4 linked regions of the Caenorhabditis elegans genome follow. The protein of the gene in region 3 interacts with the protein of the main gene of each other region in a pairwise test. Each region holds a gene or a part of one and is shown on either strand. Other genes may lie near its edges.

Region 1 (3,462 bases), on a different chromosome or scaffold from region 3:
TAAATTTAAAAAAAAATTTGTTTTTCAAATACCTTGAAACTGTAAGATGAGATAGAAGAGAAGTTGCGTCGGTTTTTGTTTTTGATGCTTTCTTCAGACGATTTTTCTTTACAGTTCCAGGTGTGTGAATTGATTGCAGAAGCTTCTGATGAGCAACGTCATCAAGATCCGAGTCATCACTCATTTCTGTTTCTCAAATTTCTATAATTTTATTCTGTTTTCTTTCAAAACATTATTAAGAAGTAAATGGTAACCGACAGAACGAGGTCAATATAATTGAAATTTTTCACAGATCTATTTATTTATTTGTTGAGAGTACAATAAAGAAACTTAAAATTCTGGAACAAACAATTACACTGCTGATGTTATGACCCACTAGAAAATGAAGACAATACATAAAACCGATTACTAAACAACTCTTTAAAACACCATCTTCAATGATTGGGTATGATGAGGCAGGGAACTGGTTTGAAGCACAGATTGAAAATCGGGATGAGGAACTAAATTTTTTGGGAAAAATTTAGATGGCGGTGGCAAGGGCATCCTTGTATTTCTTGACACGGGAAGCGATCGACAGATCGACGTACTTGTCTCCGATAGTGACAACAAGTCCTCCAAGAATCGATGGCTTGACGGCATAAGTCACCGTGAGCTTTTGTCCAGACTTTCCGATCTTGCTAAGGGCATCAGACAATGCCTTCTGGTTTGATGAGCTCAATTCTTCGGCGGAGGTGACCTGAAAATGATTTTTAGTTTTTAAAACGGTACGTACGAGCATCTTCAGGATTAAAATTTAGACTTGAAAATTTCCATTTCTACGTATTGAAAACATTCGCTATTCATATTTTATAATTTTACGAAAACAAATTTCAAAAGAAACATTGTTTTTCTTGGCAGTTATAATAAAAGTACCTGAACGAAAAGTTCTCCACGGTGAGCGCGCATGATGGATTCGAATGAAGAAACAACTGACTCGAGCTTGTTCAGACGTCCGTTCTCAGCCAAAAGTCCTGAAAGTTACAATTAAATTTGTAATTACACGTTAACAAAATACCAAGGAAGTTTCCAGTCTCTTTGGTAAGCCCCAATTTAGTTGAGATAGCCTCGATGGCGGTCTTCTTCTTGTTGGCCTTGAGAGTTGGGTCGAGGACGAACTCTTGGAACTTCTTGTTGTCCTTGTACACGGAGCGAACATTGTTCAGATCTGTGGAAATCTGGTCGAGCTTGTTCTGTTTGTGTCCGGCTGAGTAAAGAGCGGCGGCGTAACGTCCCTCGACTCCATGAACCTGAATCGGGGTCTTCACCAGCTGAGCCTTAGCGAGAGCAGCGCTCGTGGAGAATCCGCGTTTCATGAGTTGCGCCATTACCTGCAAAATTAAGAAATTAGGCAAAATTTAAATTTAATAAATGTATGCAAGCAAACGAATTAATTAAAACAACTTTTTAAATTTAATTAAGAAAAAAATAATAAAGAGTGGATTTTTACATACTTTTTCGTGAAGAATAGTCAAATATAGGTAAAGAGGCTTGCTTGGGATAAAAATTCGCATAAAATAGTACAAAAACTTAACTGAAATTCGATAAAAAAGAACTGAAAGCTAATTTCAAGAGAAAAAGGGCGGTCGTTGGCTGAGTATCACTCTCTTAACCATAAGCCAAGGTACGCAGCCAAATCACCGGCTGTCAGTTCAGTAGAGCGCATTTGGTGCTGCAATTTTTAGACAATTTTTTTTGTGGAGTTTTCTTGTTTGCAAACTTTCCATCTCGATAAAATGCATGTTCATGACAGGTTGCGTATAAAAGGTCGCAAAATGTTGAAGCTGCAGTTGAAATTGTTATCTTGTATAACTTCTAGTCATATTAAACGCAATTTTTATTGATTTTCATGTTACGTCATATATTTTCAGATCATGGGTACACAATTGGCCATCCTAGGATGGTTGGCTGTGGCTTTGGTGGTTGCTGCTGCAGAAAATAAGGTTTAATTTTAATAGTTGCTTCAAAAATCTAACATTTAGCATTTCAGAGTGCTTACGCACAAGCTGCAGACAACTTTCTCGATGAGCTCGCTGGAAAAGAAGTAGAAGCGGTTCCTGTGCCCGATGAAAAAGATCAAAATGAACATCATGAACATTCGTCTCATGGATCACACGCAGGTCATGGTGGACACGAGGGACATATGATGAAAATGTGGTTCCATGGAGGATTTGAAGAAGTTATTCTATTCGATTTTTGGAGGACGGATTCACTTTTCGGTAAGATTTTCATTATTCAATTCAAGTTTATTTCTTAACTGTTAGTTAATTTTAACAACTCTTCAGGTATGCTTTTATCGTGTGCTGCTATTTTCATTATGGGCGCCACATATGAAGGTGTCAAGTGGTTCCGTGTATTTCTGCAAATGACGCAAACACAAGCTCAGGTTCTTGCCAACAAATCATGCGTGGAGGTAAGTAATTTTATATTTCTCTATGTTTCATTAAAAAATATCTTATCCGACCTAGTTTGCACTTCAGACAACGCGGTCTTCTGGAGGCACTTGCCATCAATCGGTTACCCACTCACAGAGCAACAAGCCTCAATCTGAACCGTTCCTGATATCGGCTTCGGTAGCGAGGACCCCTGCAACTTCGCCATTCTCTCCTCAACGGCTCATTCAGATGCTCTTGTACATTTTTCAATTGGTGCTCGCCTATTGGCTCATGCTCATTGTGATGACTTACAACACTTATCTAAGTAAGTACAAATTTCTAGTTTTAAATCAATAATTCTGTGTATTTTTTCAGCTGCTGCGGTGGTATTAGGAGCAGGATTTGGACATTGGCTGTTTGCAGTTCTCCAACTCCGAAATTGTGATGGAGAAGTGACGGATTCGTTCCAAACCGATGCGTGTCATTAATAATTGCGATCTCCAATCTCAATCCTCAAACAAATCACCAAACATCATCAATTCATCTTTCCTCTTTATTAGTTGATTTATCTTTTAAAATGTATTTCCTCACTAATCGACCTTAGTTTCTCTCCTGCGGGTCGATGAGCACCTTAGGATCCCGCCTCTTTTTATCACCAGAATCTCAGTCAGAAGAAGTGTCTAATTCAGAGCAAGCTGTCAATTTTCTGATTTTATTTATTTATTATTGAATTTCTATTTGCCCTATTGAAGTTGTAAATGATAATGAACATTTGTCCTGTTATTGTTCTATCATAAGATTGAATCTTGTAGCTGATAAGATACTGCACCTCGTGAGAAGTTATGCAAATAGTCAATCGGAAGTATTAAATAACAACGTGATAAGCCTTACAAAAGATCATCTAAATAGTTTGAAGAAGCGGAATCAGGTCTTGTCGCGATTGAAAAGCTATATTTGATATTGAAGTTTTGTTATAAAATTTCGAATTTCGAAAAATAAATCGTAATCATTTTTGAAATCTCAAAACGTGCAATTTTCATAAATTGTTTTC
Region 2 (6,979 bases), on a different chromosome or scaffold from region 3:
TTTTTTGTTTTGCAAATTTAACCAACATTTTTTTTTGAATTTTAAATTAAAAAAAAAATTTTTTTTAATGTTAAAAATTTTTCAAAAAATTTTTTTATTCAGGAGCGCCTTCTTCATCGCCCATCCGCCCGTCCAGAACAAAATAATTATCAAAAATAATGTTTTTTTCCCGATCGCTTTTTTTTCAATTCTAGCCCACCCACCCACGCATTTTTTGCAATTTTTTAAATACTTCCTACCCGAACAACCGTGCCTTTATCTCTGAAAATCTCCTCACTTTATATGTTTTGATTTTTCTCGAAAAATTCTTTCAATTCAATTCTGACGTGGTGTCAGAGTGTCTCATTTCGGCTTGATCTACGTTGATCTACAAAAAAAAGTGCGGGGAAATGGAGGCAGAGTTCTCAACTCATTTTGCAACAAAAAAAATTCCCGCATTTTTTGTAGATCAAACCGTAATGGGACAGCCTCTGGCACCACGTGTATTCTATTCTATGATCTTTTGAGCTATTCACACCAATTTACACATACAATTTTCGAATTTTGCATCTGAACTCCCTTACCTCATTGAATATAAAAATTATTTAACTTTTTTTTTTGGAAAATTTTTGTTTTTTTTTTCGGTTTTTTATCCGAATTTCTACTATTTTGGGTTTTAAAAATTTTAGTTTAAAGGTACAGTCAAACTTTTTTTTTCTTCAAATTTGGGCGGCAATTGCCGTTCGGCAAATCGCGGAAATTGCCGGTTTGCCGGAAATTTTCAATTTCGGTAATTTGCCGATTCGCCGGAATAATTCAATTCCGGCAATTTGACTATTTGCCGGAAATTTTCATTTTCGGCAAATTGCCGATTTGCCGGAGATGCTCAATTCTGGCAGTTTGCCGATTTGCCGGAAATTTAAATTCTGGTAGTTTGCCTATTTGCCGGAAATTTTCAATTTCGGCAAATTGTTGATTTGCCGGAAATTTCAATTTTCGATAATTTGCCGATTTGCCGGAAATGTTCAATTCCGGCAATTTGACTATTTGCCGGAAATTTTTAATTTCGGCAATTTCTCGATTTGCCGGAAATTTCAATTTTCGATAATTTGCCGATTTGCCGGTAATTTTTCTTTGTCGGCAACTTCTCGATTTGCCGGAAATGTTCAATTTTGGCAATTTGCCGAAAATGTTCAATTCTGGCAATTTGCCGATTATGCCGGAATTTTCAATTTCTGCAGTTTGCCGATTTGCCGGAGATGCTCAATTCTGGCAATTTGCCGGAAATTTCAATTCCGGCAAATGGCCGGTTTGTCGACTTGCCGATTTGCCGGAAATTCATTTTCTTTATTTTCGGGCTAAATTCTTCGGTTTATTTTGTTAACTTTTTCTTCTGTTATTTATAAAAAAATTTAAAAAAAATTTCCGCCAAATTGCCGGAATTGACCCTTTCTGGCAAATCGGCAAATCGCCAGAATTGAAAATTTTCTGGCAAGTCGACAAATTGCCGGAATTAAAAATTTCCGGCAAATTGTGCTTTTTCACATTTTTGATTTTTCAAAAATTAAAAAAAATTTTTTAGTTTTTTTACAGTCATATTCGGTCATTAGAGTCTATTTTCTGCCAAAAAAAAAAAAACAGAAAAATTTTTTTAAAATAAATAAATAAAATTTTTTCGACTCTCCTCCACCTATTATAACTTAATCTCATTCAGAAATGGGAGAACCTTCACCTAGTCGGCGTCGATCAATCACCTCAGGAATACCATGCCCGTCACCAACGAAACAAGTCCTACCGCCACCGCCACCAGAAGAATTGCACAATATTCTACGAAAACGGCCACGGAGCAGCGCCATTCCGACGACGAGCCAGACTCATGTGAGAGCTCCACGTAAGGAGACGGATGTTGTCGATCGGATTTGGCACGATATTGACGAGGAGCAACGAGAAAAGCTGGCTCGGCGGAAGGAAGAAGCCGCCAAGAGAAAAGAGCAACAGCCGGCTCAACACATCAGGGACTATTTGCCATTGACTGCGACAAATTTGAGGAATTTCCGGAATGAAGACTCGACGATCAGTGATTTTATACATCGGCAGGGGATGGTTGACAAGCTGCTCGGCTACAAAATGCTGCTGGGAAAAATGGAGAACTGCGGGACGCTGGGCTACGAGAAAATGAGCGAAGACGAGGTTCAGCAGCTCTCCAGGGAATGGCTCAAAAACTTTTTCCCTTCAGAGCAAGCCCACGTCGGCCCACGTACCCCACCGAGCCCCGCCGTCGATTCTGATGGTGGTAGTTATCCGAAACGGCCTCGTCGAGGCCCGAAAACTCCTCCCGGATCTCCTGGGCCTTCGATGGATCAGGCGGCCGTGAATCGACGGGAGCTCATCGAGCAACTTGCGAGAAATTTTGGAATTAGTTCGTATAAAGTGGAGGAGACACTTGGCACTGGGTTGGACAAGGCGCTTGAGGATTGCTCGAAAAAGTTGAAGAATGAGCTGATGGAGACGTTTAAGGATCAGCTGTTGAGCCAGATTGATCGGAAAACTAAAATGTATGAGAGTTGGAATATCAATGAATTAGAGAATCCTATGTGAAAAAAATGTCAAAAATCGATAATTTCCATGAAAAATCGATAATTTCTATCAAAAATCGATAATTTTTATTTCTGAAAAACTCGATTTTTGATATAAATTATCGATTTTTGATTAAAATTATCGATTTTTGATAGAAAATATCAAAAATCGATAATTTCCATGAAAAATCGATAATTTCTATCAAAAATCGATAATTTTTATTTCTGAAAAACTCGATTTTTGATATAAATTATCGATTTTTGATTAAAATTATCGATTTTTGATAGAAAATATCAAAAATCGATAATTTCCATGAAAAATCGATAAATTTCATCAAAAATCGATAATTTGAATTTTAAAAATATCGATTTTTGGTATAAAATATCGATTTTTGATTAAAATTATCGATTTTTGATAGGAATTAACAAAAATCGATAATTTCTATCTTCACCGAAAAATCAATATTTTATCGATTTTTATAAATTTTTTGCAATAAAAAAAATCTATATTTTATCGATTTTTATAAATTTTTTGCAATAAAAAAATCAATATTTTATCGATTTTTATAAATTTTTTCATTAAAAATTAATATTTTATCCTTTTTTTCAACAAAAAACTAATAATTTATAAATAGATTTTTCCAGAATAAAAATCGATTTTTAATCATTTTTTCTTTAAAAAAATCAATATTTTACCGATTTTTAATCTTTTTTTCAGAAAAATCAATATTTTATCCTCTTTTTTGTTCAACAAAAAAACTAATAATTTATAAATAGATTTTTCCAGAATAAAAATCGATTTTTAATCATTTTTTCTTTAAAAAAAATCAATATTTTTCCGATTTTTAATCTTTTTTTCAGAAAAATCAATATTTTATCCTCTTTTTTGTTCAACAAAAAAAAAATAATTTTCAGATTTTTCGAGGAAAAAAATCGATTTTTCTGAATTGTTTTTTGCGATTTTTCAACAAAAAAAAACAATGTTTTCTAGATTTTTTAAACAAAAAATATCGATTTTTAACAATTTTTTCAATTTAATGAACATTAATCAACATTGGTAACAAAATCAATATTTTATCGATTAAAAAAATTGATTTTTTATCAATTTTTTAAGAAAAAAAATAAATGTGTTATCGATTTTTTTTTCAAAAAATTAACACCACTGTCGATTTTTCTGAATTTCTTTTTTGCAATTTTTCGGGATCCCAGGGAATCGAAAAATCGAAAAATTTGTTCGATGAAACCCTCATTTAAGATATTCTTTTTAAAAAGATATTAATTTTCAGTCGGGACGATTTATCGGATCAAATGGAGCTGGTCTCGGATTGCTCACTATCACCAGATTTGATAAAAAAGGAAGAACCAGACGTTGTGTATCATATGGCAGTACCACCACCACCTATACCTCCACCAATTCAGCCACCTCCTTATTCGTAAATTTTTTCCAGAAAAATTATTTTTTATTAAAAAAAAAGTTTTTTCAGTTACTACCCAGTAGCTCCAGCTGCTGCTCCACAAGTCTACCATTATGCTCCACCACCGCCACCACCGCCCCCGCATCCCCAGCAGGGGTTATATCAGCAGAATATGATGGCCTATGTAGGTGTTTTGTGGAAGCCTGGAGGCCCGGTTTTTGGAAAAAAATTGGTTTTTTTTTCAGAAAAAATTTAAAAAAAAACAAAACATTTTGATTTTTTTCCCCGAAAAAAAAAATTCAAAAAAAAGTTTCAAAACACAAACAAAAAATTCTGAAAAAAAAAAAGACGAAAAATTTAGATTTTTCCAGTAAAAATTTAAAAAACCCCCTAAAATTTTAGATTTAAAAAAAATTAAAAAACGAAAAATTTCGATTTTTTAAAAGAATAAAATCTAAAAACGAATAATTAAAAAATTTAAAAAAAAACGATTTTTTCAGTAAAAAAAATATAAAAATGACTAAAATCAAAAAACGGAAAATTAGAATTTTTCAGAGAAAAAAAACGGATTTTTTCAGTAAAAAGATAAAAAAAGTGATACATTTTTGATTTGATAGAAAAAAATATCGAAAAACAAATTTGTTTCATTTTTTCAGAAATTGTCAAAAAACGACAAATTTTTGGTTTTTTCATTTAAAACTATTCAAAAAAAGTAACATTTTTGATTTATTTTTAAAAAAATCGAAAAACAAATTTTTCATTTTTTTTCCAGAAAAATCAAAAAACCAATTTTTAGAAAAATAGATCAAAAAACAAAGGTTTTTTTTGGTTTTTTCAAAAAAAAATTTTTTTTTTAAATCAAAAAACGAAAAATTCGAATTTTCAGAGAAAAAACGGCATTTTTCAGTAAAGAGATAAAAAAGTGATACATTTTTGATTTATCTAAAAAAAAAATCGAAAAACGAAAATTTTCGATTTTTTCAGAAAAATATTAAAAAAACGGAATTTTTTTAGTGAAAAGCTTTTTTTTTCCGAAAAATCACTTTTTTTTGAGAAAAAATACCGGAAAACGGAAAATCGAAAAACTAAAAATTTCGATTTCTCAGCAAAAAAAAACTCGATTTTTTTTGAAAGATTCCCCAAAATTTTGGTCATTTTTCTTATTTTTAGACGTTATTTGTTTTGTTATAAAGTTATTTGTTTTCTTTCAATTCTGAGAATGCGTACTGCACAACATATTTGACGCGCAACATATTAAAATATCTCGTGGCGAAAACTACAGTAATCCCTTGAATGACTACTGTAGTGTCGATTTACGGGATCTCGATTTTCGAAAATTTTAATATTCTATCGACAAATAAATTGTATTAATTCTTTTTGAAAAACGAGCCCGTAAATCGACCTACAGTAGTCATTTAATGGGTTACTGTAGTTTTCGCTACGAGATATTTTGCGCGTCAAATATGTTGTGCAATACGCATTCTCAGAATTTAATAGTCCCGTTATAAAAATTTGAATTTTTTTTCGATTTTCTTCAATTTTTCGGTTTTCCGAAGTCAAAGTGTCTCATTTTGGTTTGATCTACCTAGATCTTCAAAAAATGCGGGAGAAGAGACGCAGACTTTTCAACTGATTTCGCATGGTTAAAAACGTGCTGACGTCACATTTTCATGGGAGAAAATTCCCGCATTTTTTGTAGATCAAACAGCAATGAGACAGCCTGACGCCACGTGTGATCCTTGATCTGATCCTTGAAATCCTGGGATTCATCAATCAATTTAAGTCTACTTTCTCTTTCAGCCCCCACCTATGCAACATTTCAATGCTCCACCGCCCCCAATGGCTCCGTATCAGCACCAGGCTCCTCCATCAATCGTCCTTCCACCGGTGAACGTTCCACCTCCACCGATTGGCGTCCGAATTGATACTCCAATTCCTACTGGCAAGACATTCCGATGAGTCGGATCCCCAAATAAGAAGAATCATTATTTCAGCAGTGCTGCCGATTCCAACGATGGTTCCACCACCTCCACTGCCACCACCACAAGCTCCATTCTCTGGAGATTGCTGGCGAGCACAGCCAGCGGCTCCGGTTCCGGCCTCCGTGCCAGTCAGTTCGGCACCACCACCATCAGTGGTTGTTAATGTACAAAGTACTCTATTCTCTGCTCTCGGGCTTCATCACAAGCCTCCACCTCCTCCTCCTCCACCTCCTCCTCCGACAACTTCTTCTACTACTACATCTCACATTCCACCACCACCTCCTCCTCCGCTTCCGTTCTCTTCGGCTCCGCCACCACCGCCACCGCTTCCGATGGTCGCTGCTGGTCCGTCTCCGCCGAGCTTTGTTCCTCCTCCTCCGCCTCCGAATCCGAATCAGAATCCGTCTATCGTTTTGTCACCATCGGCGGTAACCGGAGGCGGCGGCTACCGGCATCGTGTCAATCAGTTTCCGCCGCAGCAGCAGCAGTCGTTCTCGAACTTTTGAATCCTTTCACGTGGTGTCAGAATGTCTCATTTTGGCTTGATCTACGTTGATCTACAAAAAATGCGGGAGAAGAGACGCAGAGTTCTCCACAGAGCGGCTTTTACTACGTGGCCTAGAAAAATCGAAAACTCGGCCAATGATTTATCTGGGATTTTTGACGTGGGATGTTTTTGAAACTTGACGAGAATACTCTCGAAAGGGGGTTCTATAGTTCCACCGTGGCGATTTTTGAGAAAATGTTCCGTATCGATGTTATGAAGGTGGCCGAGTTTTCTTATTTTACGGCCACGTAGTAAAAACCGCTCTGTGTCTCAACTGATTTCGCATGGTTAAGAACGTGCTGACGTCACATATTTTTGGACGGAAAATTCCCGCATTTTTTGTAGATCAAACCATGATGGGACAGCCTCCGGCACCACGTGTCCTTTCTCATTTGCCTCTCTGTGAAAAATCTGTGAATCTTGAACATATTTGAAATATCGATTTTTTTCTCTTCATTTCCTTGATTTTCTATTTGAAAT
Region 3 (5,037 bases):
AAACATTATTTAAAGTACGCTCTTTATCAGGGAAAACAAGGACGCAGGCAACAAAAACAGCAAACTAATTCCACTGATCCGCTTCAAATGGGGTAACTCAATGCTTCCACAAGCCGCCACAGAAGTTTCGGATACTTGGTTTGAAGCTCTCAGTATGATTCAATGTATGGCAATGTGGCTCACAAAGCATGCTGCGTCGATGGCTGGAAAGGATGAGGTACGAGAATCTGATGCAAAGGAATGTCTTCAGTGTTTGAGACAAGCAGGTGGAATGTTCCAATATGTGAAAGATGAATCATCACGACTTTCCGGTGCCAATGAAGTTGAAGGCTCAGATTTTGATCCGAAAGTTATGGAAACGTATATTTTGACTGCCACAGCAGAAGCACAAGAGGTCATTGTAGCTAGAGCTATTGAAATGAAACATGATGATGGATTAATCTCATCGCTTGCTGCTGTAACTGCATCGATATTCTCAAAAGCTGATCAATGCCTGAATAATTTGCCTGATGAGAGTTTTGCGAGATGGAGAAGATATCTGCAATTGAAGCATCATTTCTATTTGGCGTATGCTTTTGCCTTCCTCGGACAGAAACAACTATCAGAGGATAAATGTGGAGAAGCTGTGAGAGCTTGTAAGCAAGGAATTGCTGAGTATGGAGTTGCTAAAGAAATGGCAGCAATGTATGCAACTGCAACTGGTCCTGGAACTCGTATCAAGCCTGAGCAACACTTGTTCTTCAGAAGAATCGAGCCATTGCTCAATCGACATTTGGAAAAAGCGGAGCGAGAAAATGGATTCATCTATCATCAAAAAGTTCCAGATGAGATTCCTCAATTGGATGTAGAAGCAACATATGGATTGGCTAAACTTGATTCGTTTACCTATCCTCCACCAGCGGAATCATGGAATACGGCAGTTTATTCCGCTTTTGATTTGTCCAAAGCAAATATGCCAGATTTTTCAAAAATTAAAAAGGTAGGCGCGTCGATTTTTTAAAAACTAAATTAAACTAATTACATAACAAATATTTTGAGTTCTGGAAAAACGTGTTTCAATTTGAAACGCTCAATTTTTATTTCCGTTCTTGCCTTCTAAAGTAAAAATTGGATATAAATTCAAAAACAGCAAATTCAAAAATTGAGCGTTTACCAAAAATACAATTTTGACAATAAAATCCGTTCAAAAAAAGCGAAAACATGCAATTTCCGTTAGTTTGATCTAAAAAAAACAACAGATAATTTGAACAGTATACGGATTTATCAAATGTTAACACATTTACAAGGAAATTTTTTTTCATTTTTCATTTCCAAAAAATCTAGGAAACATTCGAATTTGTCATACTAAAACTCCTTTAAATTTCTTCCTTAAAACATTCGACTTAAAAAATGCATTTATTAAAAAGAATAAAGCATTTAAACTGTTGTAATCACTAATTTCAGAGCAAGTCAAAGCTTGATCCAGTTCACGAGGAGAAAATCTACCAAACAGAAAAGGATCCCAGCAATTCCAGTGGATGTGTGATTGCCTAATAATTCGAGTCTTTGTACATTACTGTTCTTCACTATTTTATTTTTAAACATTTCCATTTCCCCTTACAACCATGCCCATTTGTATGCAATGTTTCCAATTTTAGCTGCACGCGTTCTCATTGATGCTGGATGATATACATAAAAATGTACATGTTGTTGACACGATTGAAGACAGTGACCAAATATAACGGTCAGTTGAGCATGCGGCTGAATCAACCAACAGGTGTGCCAACATTCAAAGGGCGGTCCTTTGGGGCAGATCGGATATAGCTGGAGATTTTAGTTTCAGTCAGTAGCAATGCGATCCCGTCGGCTAGTCATCCTGTCAATTTTGTTATTTCTCATTGGAGTTGTCAGCGCTAGAACAGCGTCTGGAAGAGGATGTACTCATTCAATGCAATGTGGTAGAGGATTCTTCTGTCAAGAAGGCGCTTGTAGGAAAGATTCGTGTTCCAATGATTTACAATGTGACGAGGTATCGTTTTTTTTTAACTTCTAAGTATTAAAATGCGCGGAGATTCATTTAAACGTATTCTAGGGTGAAGAGTGTCGCCCTGGCAATGTTAACGGACGACAGAAATCCGGATGCTTCAAGTCACTTGTCCCGAAATCGGCATTGGGAGGAACATCGGAAGATTTTTGTCCAGGAGGAGGTGCACTTGTCCTCTCTCCTACTGGAACTCTGACAATCTGCGATTTGACTGAAGACTGCCCATCAACTCACATCTGTAATCCAGTGCATGGAGTTTGTTGTACAAGTAAGAAATCGTATTGATTATAAAATTCTCGTTGGAAAAAAAAGGGACCACGTTTTCAATAAAACGTAAATATTTCAGGACATGGTTATTCATTTTGAAAAATTAAATGAGGATCCTCATTATCAAATTAACCGGTAAAATTTACATTCTTCAGAACTACCAACCTGTCCAAAAACTAAGAAAACCATGGTTAACTTCATAACTGGCAAACCTATTATGTGCCAATTCAAACAAGGAAGAGTAATGCCATGCCCTGAGAATGGTTTCTGTGAGACTACAACTGGATTCTGCTGCGTCCCAGGTGTAGATGTTGAGCCCCCAGTCGTCGTTACCCGTGCACCAGCAATCATTGAAAATGAACGTCCGTGGCGAGGACAAGTGTGCTCTCCACAATCTGGATGTTCTGGTGGAGCAGCTTGTATCTGTGGAGCCCGTGGAAATTGTATGTGTGAGTGTGCCACAGACTTTGGATACACACTTGCTTCCGATGGAAAAACTTGTCAAAGAGTTAGAAGACGTCTGAAAGAAAAGTGTAAGACTGATATGGAATGCTCTGCTGCATTTTCAGAATGCTCTTCAGGAGGATGTAGATGTAAGAGAGGTTTCAAGAGAAATGGTGATGGAGGTTGTGAACCCCTTGGTGAGTTTTTTTCAGCACAAATGTTTTTATCAATTAGATATCAATCAAACTTCATTGAAACTAGTTCATCTCAGAAAATTGCAGAGTACCGATGTGTCAACAAAGCAGCTCCCCTAAAACGAGATGAAAAGCTTATCACATGCTCTCTCAAAAACTCTCTTCTTTCGAGTGTCTCCACCAGTTTCAGAAGCCTGAAAAAGTCAGAAAATGGAAGTGATATTAACGATGCCGAATTTGAACGTCTAATGAAAGGAATTCAAAATGGAACTCTTTTGGATTTTGGAAATGAAAGAGATGATTGTCCAGATGAGCATTATTGTGTTCCTGTGTTCGATGATGCAAGTAAACCCGGTTATTATAAGGGATTTTGTTGTCCGTCTCCATCCGAAATTCGCCCAACATGCCCTGTGGGAGAACCACATGAATCGTCATATCCTCCAGACTATGGATGTAACAAATGTCCCGTAGATTATTACTGTCATAGGGATTCTGTAGCCACCGAGAAATCTGTATGGTTTTCAAAATCTCAAACCCCTTTGAAAGAATATCTAAAATTTCAGATTTGCTGTCCAAAGCCTTGTGTTTCACTCGAAGACATCTACCACGAAGGCCAGTGCTTTTCAATGGCGTACTATGGAGACAGCTGTCACATTTCGTCGCAATGCGTCTACTCAAAGAGTCCCGACGCCGCCGAAGAGTACGCTGAAGTTGCAAAAATGGAATGTGCCAGAAGTATTTGTTCGTGTCCAGCAGGTTTCAGTTATGCTGACGGACAGTGCAAAAGAATTATGTGCTCAATTGGCCTAAGAGGAGAACCATCAGTAGACAAGTCAGGGCAATTAATTCGTTGTGAGAGATCCAGTGATTGTAGTATGGGTCATATGTGTGATCCAAATACCCATGTTTGCTGCAAGGGAACTAACAGTAAGTGACTTCCAAGGAAATTTTATTTTGAAAAATTGTTCAATGCATTCCTTCTTGAAATCAGTATATGAATATCTGTTTCAGTTATCACAAGATTAACTAGCTTTGCAAAAGTGCAAACAATAATTAGAGTTATTTTATAATTCTGCTGCCACAACACCCTTATCAAATTACAAACTATAATCATAGAAAGCAGAAAACTAATGACATATTTTTGGGATTTTTCTGTAAATCCATAAATTGTTCTACCAATGTCTAAATTTTTAGAGATCTTCATTTTTATTGAATTATTACTTCAGGATGTCCAAAGGATTATGTTGAGACCGGAGAGCAATGCACAGATGACAATTGTCGTGGAATAAACCAAATCTGTCACCGAACCAAAAATGGCAAAGCCAAAATCTGTTGCACTTATGATGATGTGACAATGTCTGCCATGCGGGATGCCCTGAATTCAACAACAATGAATCTGTAAACTACATTCGCTTTGTAAAATCCCTTCTCTATATTGTTCACCCCTCGTTTTCCAACTCTTCTTGTTTGTACATTTTGGACGTGCTTCCCTTTTCTTTTTCCTCTTTTCACCAGTAGCCACCAACACCACCACCTCTTTAATAAATCCTTACATGACTCTCTTCTCGTCGTGTGCCATCCTCCACATTTGCTTCTTGTATCCTGTTGCTCTTCCTCATCGTCGTCATAGCGACTGGAGAGGATTCTGGAGAGAGGAAGCTGAAAAGGAGAGCGGACACACTTGGAAAATACGGATGAATGAGTAATCAGGGATGAATAGTGGATGAATGGCCAAGGGGAAGGCCAAAATGTCCTCTGTCTTTATCATGAATTCTTCTGAAGAAACCTGAAAAGCAGTGCTTCTAATAAACGGACCAATTCGTGACATGACCCTTAAAAATATTTTTCTGATGTTGTCGGTGGTGACATCTTCTCGGAACCCCCTGTGGCCGAGAGTGAATAAATTAGAGAAGAAGAAGACGAAGATGGCTTGTTGGAAGACGGGACGAAAACGAAAAAAAAAGAAGCGGAGGAGAGGAGGGCTTTTCGAATTCTGGAGCTCTTTTTCGCCTTCTCAACTACACACTCGTCATTTAGTGGTGAGGAGATGGAAATAGGGGGAATGAAGTCATCGTTTTGGTGGTCGTCGAGATGGAAGAAGAAGGCCAT
Region 4 (6,471 bases), on a different chromosome or scaffold from region 3:
TCGCATGAATCGAAATTATGGCAGCGCAATATTGGAAGAGGGTTAAAATACTGAACAAAAACATTCTAAAAGTCAATACTTCGTCCAAACATGAAGATTTTCTGCAGGTTCTCAACAAAGCAATTCACATTTGAAAAAGAAAAAAATGAATGGCTCGGACCACCTGCGTAAATCTTGCCGGGTACGGTATTCGCTTCGAGACCTCCATCAAAACCGTAGTTTGGAAATTGTTTTTTCCCGCCGATCTAACTTTTCTATTGACGCGCTAAATTTTGAAATCAGAAAAGTCGCATAAAGAATTCGGATTTTGTTTTATTTTCATTTGTCAGTTTTGATAAATTTTCATTTTATAAATTATGTAAAGTTTCGGCTATATCAGTTACCCACTTCATTTCTACCTAGCTGTTCTTTTCCTTATATGACCTTCTTGAAAGCTTATAAAAGTTTTCGAAAGCTTTTAGACCACTTTCAAACTGCTTAATATCTAACCCCCATTTCGGAAAAAAAACTTCTACATAATTCCAGATGCGCCATCTCCATCTCGCCTTCTTCCTTCCCGCCATCTTTCTGTTCTTCTCGTGTGTAAATGGTGCCATCGAATCGGTACACGACGACAAAGATGTCGTGCCACACGAAGAACAAGGTAAAAAACTAGATTATTGTGTGCTTAAGATTAAAGTTTCACTTCAGCCCTCGACGTCGACACAATTTTCCGCGCTCTTGGAGTTCCATATTGCATGCGAAAGTGCATCGACCCGTTCATCAATTCTACGACGTCTCTGTGGAACATGAAGAATGTTGTACATCAAGCTCGCAAAGTCTGTGGTCATCATGCACAGGCTATCACTTGTCTGAAGAAAGAACAGTACTGTGATCACAACAAGCTCTTCGCAAAAGCCAGCAGCAGTGTTGAATATATGTGTGCCACAAAGCACGTTCTGTTTGAGCGAATGGAGTCGTGTCTCAACCCTGTCGTTGATGATATCATGTCAGGTAATTTTTTTTCTGAAAAATTGCCCACCATCAAAAAATCGTTTTCAGGCTGCGACAAAGAATGCTATGCTCGTTCAAACCTAACTGCTTTCGCTCAAGATTCTAACATTAAATTCGCTGCTACAGTTGGAGGTAATGTATTTATTGTTGCTGATCATCTTGGAGAACTTTGTAACTCTCTGCAATGTACTCTCCCATGTGTCACCAAGCGACTCAACAGCAAGTGTGCCTTGAGTGGATGGCTTAGTCTGGACATGCTTATGCAACCATTCGATGCCGTTTCTGTAATGGTTGATCAATTGTCACCAGCATTGAGGTTAGTTAGTGCGATCATTATTAAATATGCTATGTAACTAAACATTTCAGGGATGTCATCAGTAAGAAAATCGATAAAAGATGCCGTTTTGCAATTAACCCAACTCGTCTCAACCGCATTCGCAACGGCGATTTCAAGGCTTTTAACATGGATAACATTTGATCGCATCTCATTTCATGATTCCAGTACTCACTAAAACCCACGAATTGTAAATAATCACCCGACACAAATATGTTGATATATCGAATAAATAGTTGTAAACTGTAAACCGCTTTCAATAATCATTTTCTCAAACGCGGATGAAAGCCGAAAAAAATTCTCGTGACATTTTGTACAACTATCGAAGCTGAAATGGCCGAAATATCTGAATTTCGGCCGCGTGGTCGACAAAACAGCTGACAAGTTCAATTCATCGATCAATAATCGCATTTTGATGAGTCAATCTATTCCCTTCCATCGCTCTTCCATTGTGAACGCATTAAGTTAATGAGAGTGTAAGGATCGTGGAGACGGAGACGTAGAGACAGTTGTTAACCTACAGGAAAATTCTTTCGTTTGTTGCCTGTGTAAATACAGCAGTTTGCCTTGTTCTTTCCCTTCATTTATTTCAAGTTTTCCCTTCAAAAAGCTACTATTTCACAATCGATTTACACTTTCTCTAAGAAAACGACATAAATTGCAGAATTTTGTGTATAAATTTATCATATGGAAGCGGATGAATATTTTACCACATACGATGCGCTTAAAGACGTGAGTATCATTTCCTTTGTGTTCTTATCACATTGGCATCTTATCATTTATATATTGTGGCGAATAATATGAACATTTCCAATAGAATAGAAACTATAAATTTTCCAAAATGCACTCTGCCGCTGTTAAAAGACTGAAATTCAAGGTAGATTATACATATATAATTAGATAAAATAATTGAACGTTTCGAAATATGAATTTTTCAGCAACAAAAGAAAGATCACGCTGTACGAAGACTGCTGCCACTCAAAACGAGTGAAAACTGCGGAATAATGAAGATTGTTTGGTCGCAATTCGACTTTATGACTGGCCCGGAGCTGAAATTCGTCTGGGATGTGACACCTTCGACTTCAATTTCACCAGTAAATCTTTCTGGAGAGGATGGATCAATTGCAGATGCTGAAAGTTTAATGGATTCTTCAGGATCTAATCAATCGGTGTCTTTTGAAGAAATCGATGATCCATTAAAAGTGAGTTTATTCAGATAAAGCTATCAAATTTTTAATTTTTGCAGACAGAATTAACAATTCTCGATGGTTTGGATGCCAATTTAGTCGATTCATTTGCTGATTTCGATTTAATGAATGCTGGAGACTATAAATACAAAACACTCAAGTATTTGGATGAATATATGACTGAATCTGCTACAACAAGTACAAAAACATTGACAATGGATGATTCTCGTATTATGGAAAGTCCTGAAAGCAGTGGAAAATCATTAAGAGATGAAGGACTGGATCATTGTTGTGAAGGTAAATTCTTGGAAGATGAACGATTGGGAACCAGCTTTACACTTGCTTCTCCCTCTCCAAATGATACTGGCCATCTTGGGAAGCTGCTTGCAAGTAAATATCCAAATGAAGAAGATAGAGAACTCGCAGAGTATCTTCGAGATAAAATTGCATCCACCTCGACGCCAGCTCCGAACGTTGCGTGCGTGGCACATCTTACCGAACATTATGAACTTGACAGACTGTCGCCTATTAATAATGATGATGGTGAGTTTCAGATTTCTTTGATAATCTCAATGTTGTTTATAATTTCAGAACTCCGTCGATCTTGTGTTGATTCTGGAGTTGGTGTGTCAACTCATAGTGATTTATCTGCTTTGTGTCAAAGCCCTCCTTGTAAGAATCACATCAAAAAGTATGAAGATGCATTTGGAATGATGACATCGACTCCCAATTCAAATGTTTTTGAATTTCGAGAGGAAAGAGGTCATACAAAAACTCCACCACCGAGAGATATTTTCGATTTCTTCGATGATCAGATTGATTTTGGAGAATCATATGTAACAGATGAAGCTTTTGTTGCCAAATGTGTATTGGCTGAGCTTATTTGCAAGTAAGCTTATTAACCAGGCACAAAATATTGCCATTTTAGCAACAAAAATACGGTGTTCGGTCTCGACACTATATTTTTGTTAAATACGAAAACTTATGCTCCTTTAAAAATGTACTGTAATAACTCATGCTGCTGCGAATTTTTCATAGATTTTTCTATAAAAATACATTTTAATTGAAAAACTTAAGTGAAACAATAAGAAGGGAAACGTTTAAAAATCGTGAGAAAAAATTTAAATATTTAAAGGCGCACACCTTTTTTTCGCTTTTGACACAATTTTCGTGTCGAGACCGACTACCGTATTTTTGGCGCAAATATTGCAGTATTCTACAAAAAAAGTTTAGTAATTATTATGATTTCAGTGCCCCACATTCCCGATGTCCTCTACAACACAAGATGATTGTTTCACCCTCACGTCACTTATTAGTTGCGGCGTTTATTTTCTCAGTTCAAACAAAATCAGGATCAACTATTACATATGCCATATCATTCCTTATGTCACATCTTAAACAAGAATGGTATTTGGATCGACATTCATGGTTTGAGAGAATGGTTGGCGATTCTGTTCCAAAAATGAAAGCCTCATTATTTTCGGTTAGAATAGTAAATTATAGTCTTTCGACAATGCATCAAATTTTAGGAAGATTCTGATGATGTACTGGTTCGAGTGACTTCTGAACTTTCTCGCCTCTTGTCACTTCTTTCTGCACTCGAAAGATTTCCTCTTGTTTCTCTGGAACGACCTTTAATGGTAAGATTTACTCAACTACCACAAAAAAATGTAATTCGTTTTCAGATAAAGAACACACTATTCACGGATAGAGGAATTTCAATTTCCGAAAATCGACTTCTCGCAAAAGCGATTTCCGGATGCTTGCAAAGTCAGGGTCATACTGTAATTATTGGATCGGATCATGTTTTGGTTGCCAGACTCCTCTATACTCTTGCATTTTTTGTTCCTGAAGCACATCAATGGTGTTGTCTAAGAGCTTACCGACACAAGTATAATCCATATTTAAAATTACAAGGTGTACGAAGGGTATGTGAAACCATCAAATTATTTTATTTTAAAAAAACATTATTTCAGGCAGAACTCCCTTCAGTTATAATGAGCGGAACATCAAGCCCTTGGCCTATTTGTATCATCGACATTGATCGGTCAGCAGTGTGTATGTCAGCTTCATATCAAAAACATCGAATTTTACGAGCACGAAATGATTCTCGAGGGGTACGGTTGATTCTTGAACATGCAGGCGTGATGGTTTCGAAGAACACAAAAATTCCACAGATGTAAGTTTGTTTTTTTTTGAGAAAAAGAAAAAAAAAGATCAAGGTGCGCGGATTTAAAATTTACTGTAATTTGAAACTTTTTAATACTGCAGAATTTTCAAAATCAGATTTTTAAAATTTTTTGATAAAATTCTATTTACATTTAAAAAAACTCAAATATAACAATAATAATACCTCATTTTTGATAAATAGAAAAACTATGAAACATCTATGAAAACTTCGCAGCAATAAAAGTTTGAATTTACAGTACTATTTCAAGGCTCACACTTTTTCCATTCAACAAAAAATAGTCGTGTCGAGACCGTGTATCGTATTGTTGACAAAAAAACGAAATCTGGGAAGTACTGTAATAGTTAATAATTGAATTTTTAACAAATTCCTAGAAAACATTCGTATGTTGATTATATAAAAACGATCACTTATAAAAATATTCAATCAAATATATTTTGAGAATTTGAACATTTAGTGATTTTTTCACTTGATCTATTTCGTGAAAACTGTTTTTTAAGTTAAAAAAAACCTAGAAAAAAACCTAAAAAAGAGCAATTATTTGCAACTAGTTTTTAGTTGCGCAACTAAAAATGACAAATTTTAAAAATCAAAAAGTTAATTTACACCAACGATAAATATAATTTTCATAGGAAATTAAATATAATTTATTGATTTTTATAGCAGAAAAACATTACAATAGAAATTCGAAAATTATTGAAGATTCATTATATTTTTTATAAAACATTTAGGTAATTTATTCTCCAGAAAAAATTTTGATTATTCCAGAGAACTGTCACCTTGCCGAACTCTTGAATCAGTGAATACATTCCTAAAGCAAATGGATTTACTTCCAATGGAAGAATCAGTTCGTTCTGGATTCTGTACTCAAATAATGCTCTATTTCGATAATCTTGCCGCTGCATTCATTGCTTTTGTCCGTGATGCTAGTCGCCCCGGAAATGACGAAAAAGAGTGCGGAACACGATCCAAATCGTTCAGTTTAACTGAATGCCGAAAATCCCTGGATCTGACCAACGATGCTCTGTTCAACGCGGTTCTAGCGAGAGCCGAAATACTTCAGCCTGACATATCCGAATTTATTTACATGTAGAGCCAAAGTCCAAACCAGTCATGGATATTAAATACGAGATACTCTTTTTTTTTGCCTTCAGTTTCTGATGAATTTAGTTGCATTCCCCAATTTTTTGTTACACTTTTATTGAATTGCCTACCATTTTCCACGTGTGATGAATAAAAACTTTATAATCTTTTGTTTTTATTCTGGCAAACAGTTGAAAGAAAAATATGATGAATCAAGTTTATTTTTCAAATCTTGCAATATGAACCTCTCATCTATAAATATGTGCTCCTTCTCTCTTCAACGAATAATATTATTCAAAACTTGTGTTCCAATCTGTGCTTGTTGTTGCTGCTTCTGCTTGAATATGAGAAAATCATAATGACGACGAGAAGAGCAACCTTCCTTTTTTCCCCTCAAAATAAAATTACAATTCAGATTCCAAAAAGAAAAATGAATTTACAAATATTTTTTCAACTGATCTGTCAAGTGTTGATTGACGTAAAATATTTCATAGAAAATGCCACCAACCCCTCATTTAAAATAAGGAAAAGGTACCCATTAATTTATATTCAACATTTCTTTGAAAATTCGAATTCTCTAAGAAAACTCGGTAATTCATCAATATTTTGTGTTTTCTTTTACTTTTTTCTCATTTCATATATGTTGGTGTCAATGTATCATCATTTTCTTATTCTATAATTAGTTA

Evidence for each region.
Region 1: the proteins of B0507.1 (region 3) and atp-3 interact in a two-hybrid assay, tested with the Caenorhabditis elegans proteins (one large-scale study listed by BioGRID).
Region 2: the proteins of B0507.1 (region 3) and sydn-1 interact in a two-hybrid assay, tested with the Caenorhabditis elegans proteins (one large-scale study listed by BioGRID).
Region 4: the proteins of B0507.1 (region 3) and alfa-1 interact in a two-hybrid assay, tested with the Caenorhabditis elegans proteins (one large-scale study listed by BioGRID).

What each region holds. Positions count from the first base shown.
Region 1 is NC_003279.8:5,428,257-5,431,718, forward strand, and holds atp-3 (Oligomycin sensitivity conferral protein), read right to left. Parts: upstream 1,564-3,462; 5' UTR 1,551-1,563; coding exon 1,491-1,550; intron 1,368-1,490; coding exon 1,055-1,367; intron 1,011-1,054; coding exon 913-1,010; intron 737-912; coding exon 521-736; downstream 1-520. Other genes in the region: utp-14 (Small-subunit processome), read right to left, coding at 33-184; F27C1.2 (Copper transport protein), read left to right, coding at 1,911-1,979, 2,027-2,255, 2,322-2,449, 2,505-2,736, 2,787-2,899.
Region 2 is NC_003279.8:2,376,568-2,383,546, reverse strand, and holds sydn-1 (Synaptic defective enhancer 1), read left to right. Parts: upstream 1-1,695; coding exon 1,696-2,534; intron 2,535-3,841; coding exon 3,842-3,988; intron 3,989-4,039; coding exon 4,040-4,154; intron 4,155-5,770; coding exon 5,771-5,912; intron 5,913-5,964; coding exon 5,965-6,458; downstream 6,459-6,979. UniProt on the Caenorhabditis elegans protein: Acts as a negative regulator of nuclear pre-mRNA 3'-end processing (mRNA polyadenylation). Plays a role in tissue-specific expression of protein isoforms by regulating differential processing of pre-mRNA 3'-end (alternative polyadenylation).
Region 3 is NC_003283.11:8,774,829-8,779,865, forward strand, and holds B0507.1 (EB domain-containing protein), read left to right. Parts: upstream 1-1,741; 5' UTR 1,742-1,756; exon of another isoform or gene 1,757-1,802; intron 1,803-1,816; 5' UTR 1,817-1,831; coding exon 1,832-2,008; intron 2,009-2,071; coding exon 2,072-2,291; intron 2,292-2,445; coding exon 2,446-2,931; intron 2,932-3,015; coding exon 3,016-3,440; intron 3,441-3,491; coding exon 3,492-3,855; intron 3,856-4,154; coding exon 4,155-4,330; 3' UTR 4,331-4,490; downstream 4,491-5,037. Other genes in the region: B0507.2 (BRO1 domain-containing protein BROX homolog), read left to right, coding at 31-979, 1,444-1,533.
Region 4 is NC_003280.10:7,657,809-7,664,279, reverse strand, and holds alfa-1 (ALS/FTD Associated gene homolog), read left to right. Parts: upstream 1-1,991; 5' UTR 1,992-2,014; coding exon 2,015-2,059; exon of another isoform or gene 2,060-2,168; coding exon of another isoform or gene 2,169-2,204; intron 2,205-2,265; coding exon 2,266-2,529; intron 2,530-2,573; coding exon 2,574-3,057; intron 3,058-3,105; coding exon 3,106-3,403; intron 3,404-3,765; coding exon 3,766-3,997; intron 3,998-4,043; coding exon 4,044-4,154; intron 4,155-4,199; coding exon 4,200-4,442; intron 4,443-4,490; coding exon 4,491-4,693; intron 4,694-5,470; coding exon 5,471-5,795; 3' UTR 5,796-5,952; downstream 5,953-6,471. Other genes in the region: F18A1.7 (Chondroitin proteoglycan 4 domain-containing protein), read left to right, coding at 526-643, 691-993, 1,042-1,309, 1,360-1,471.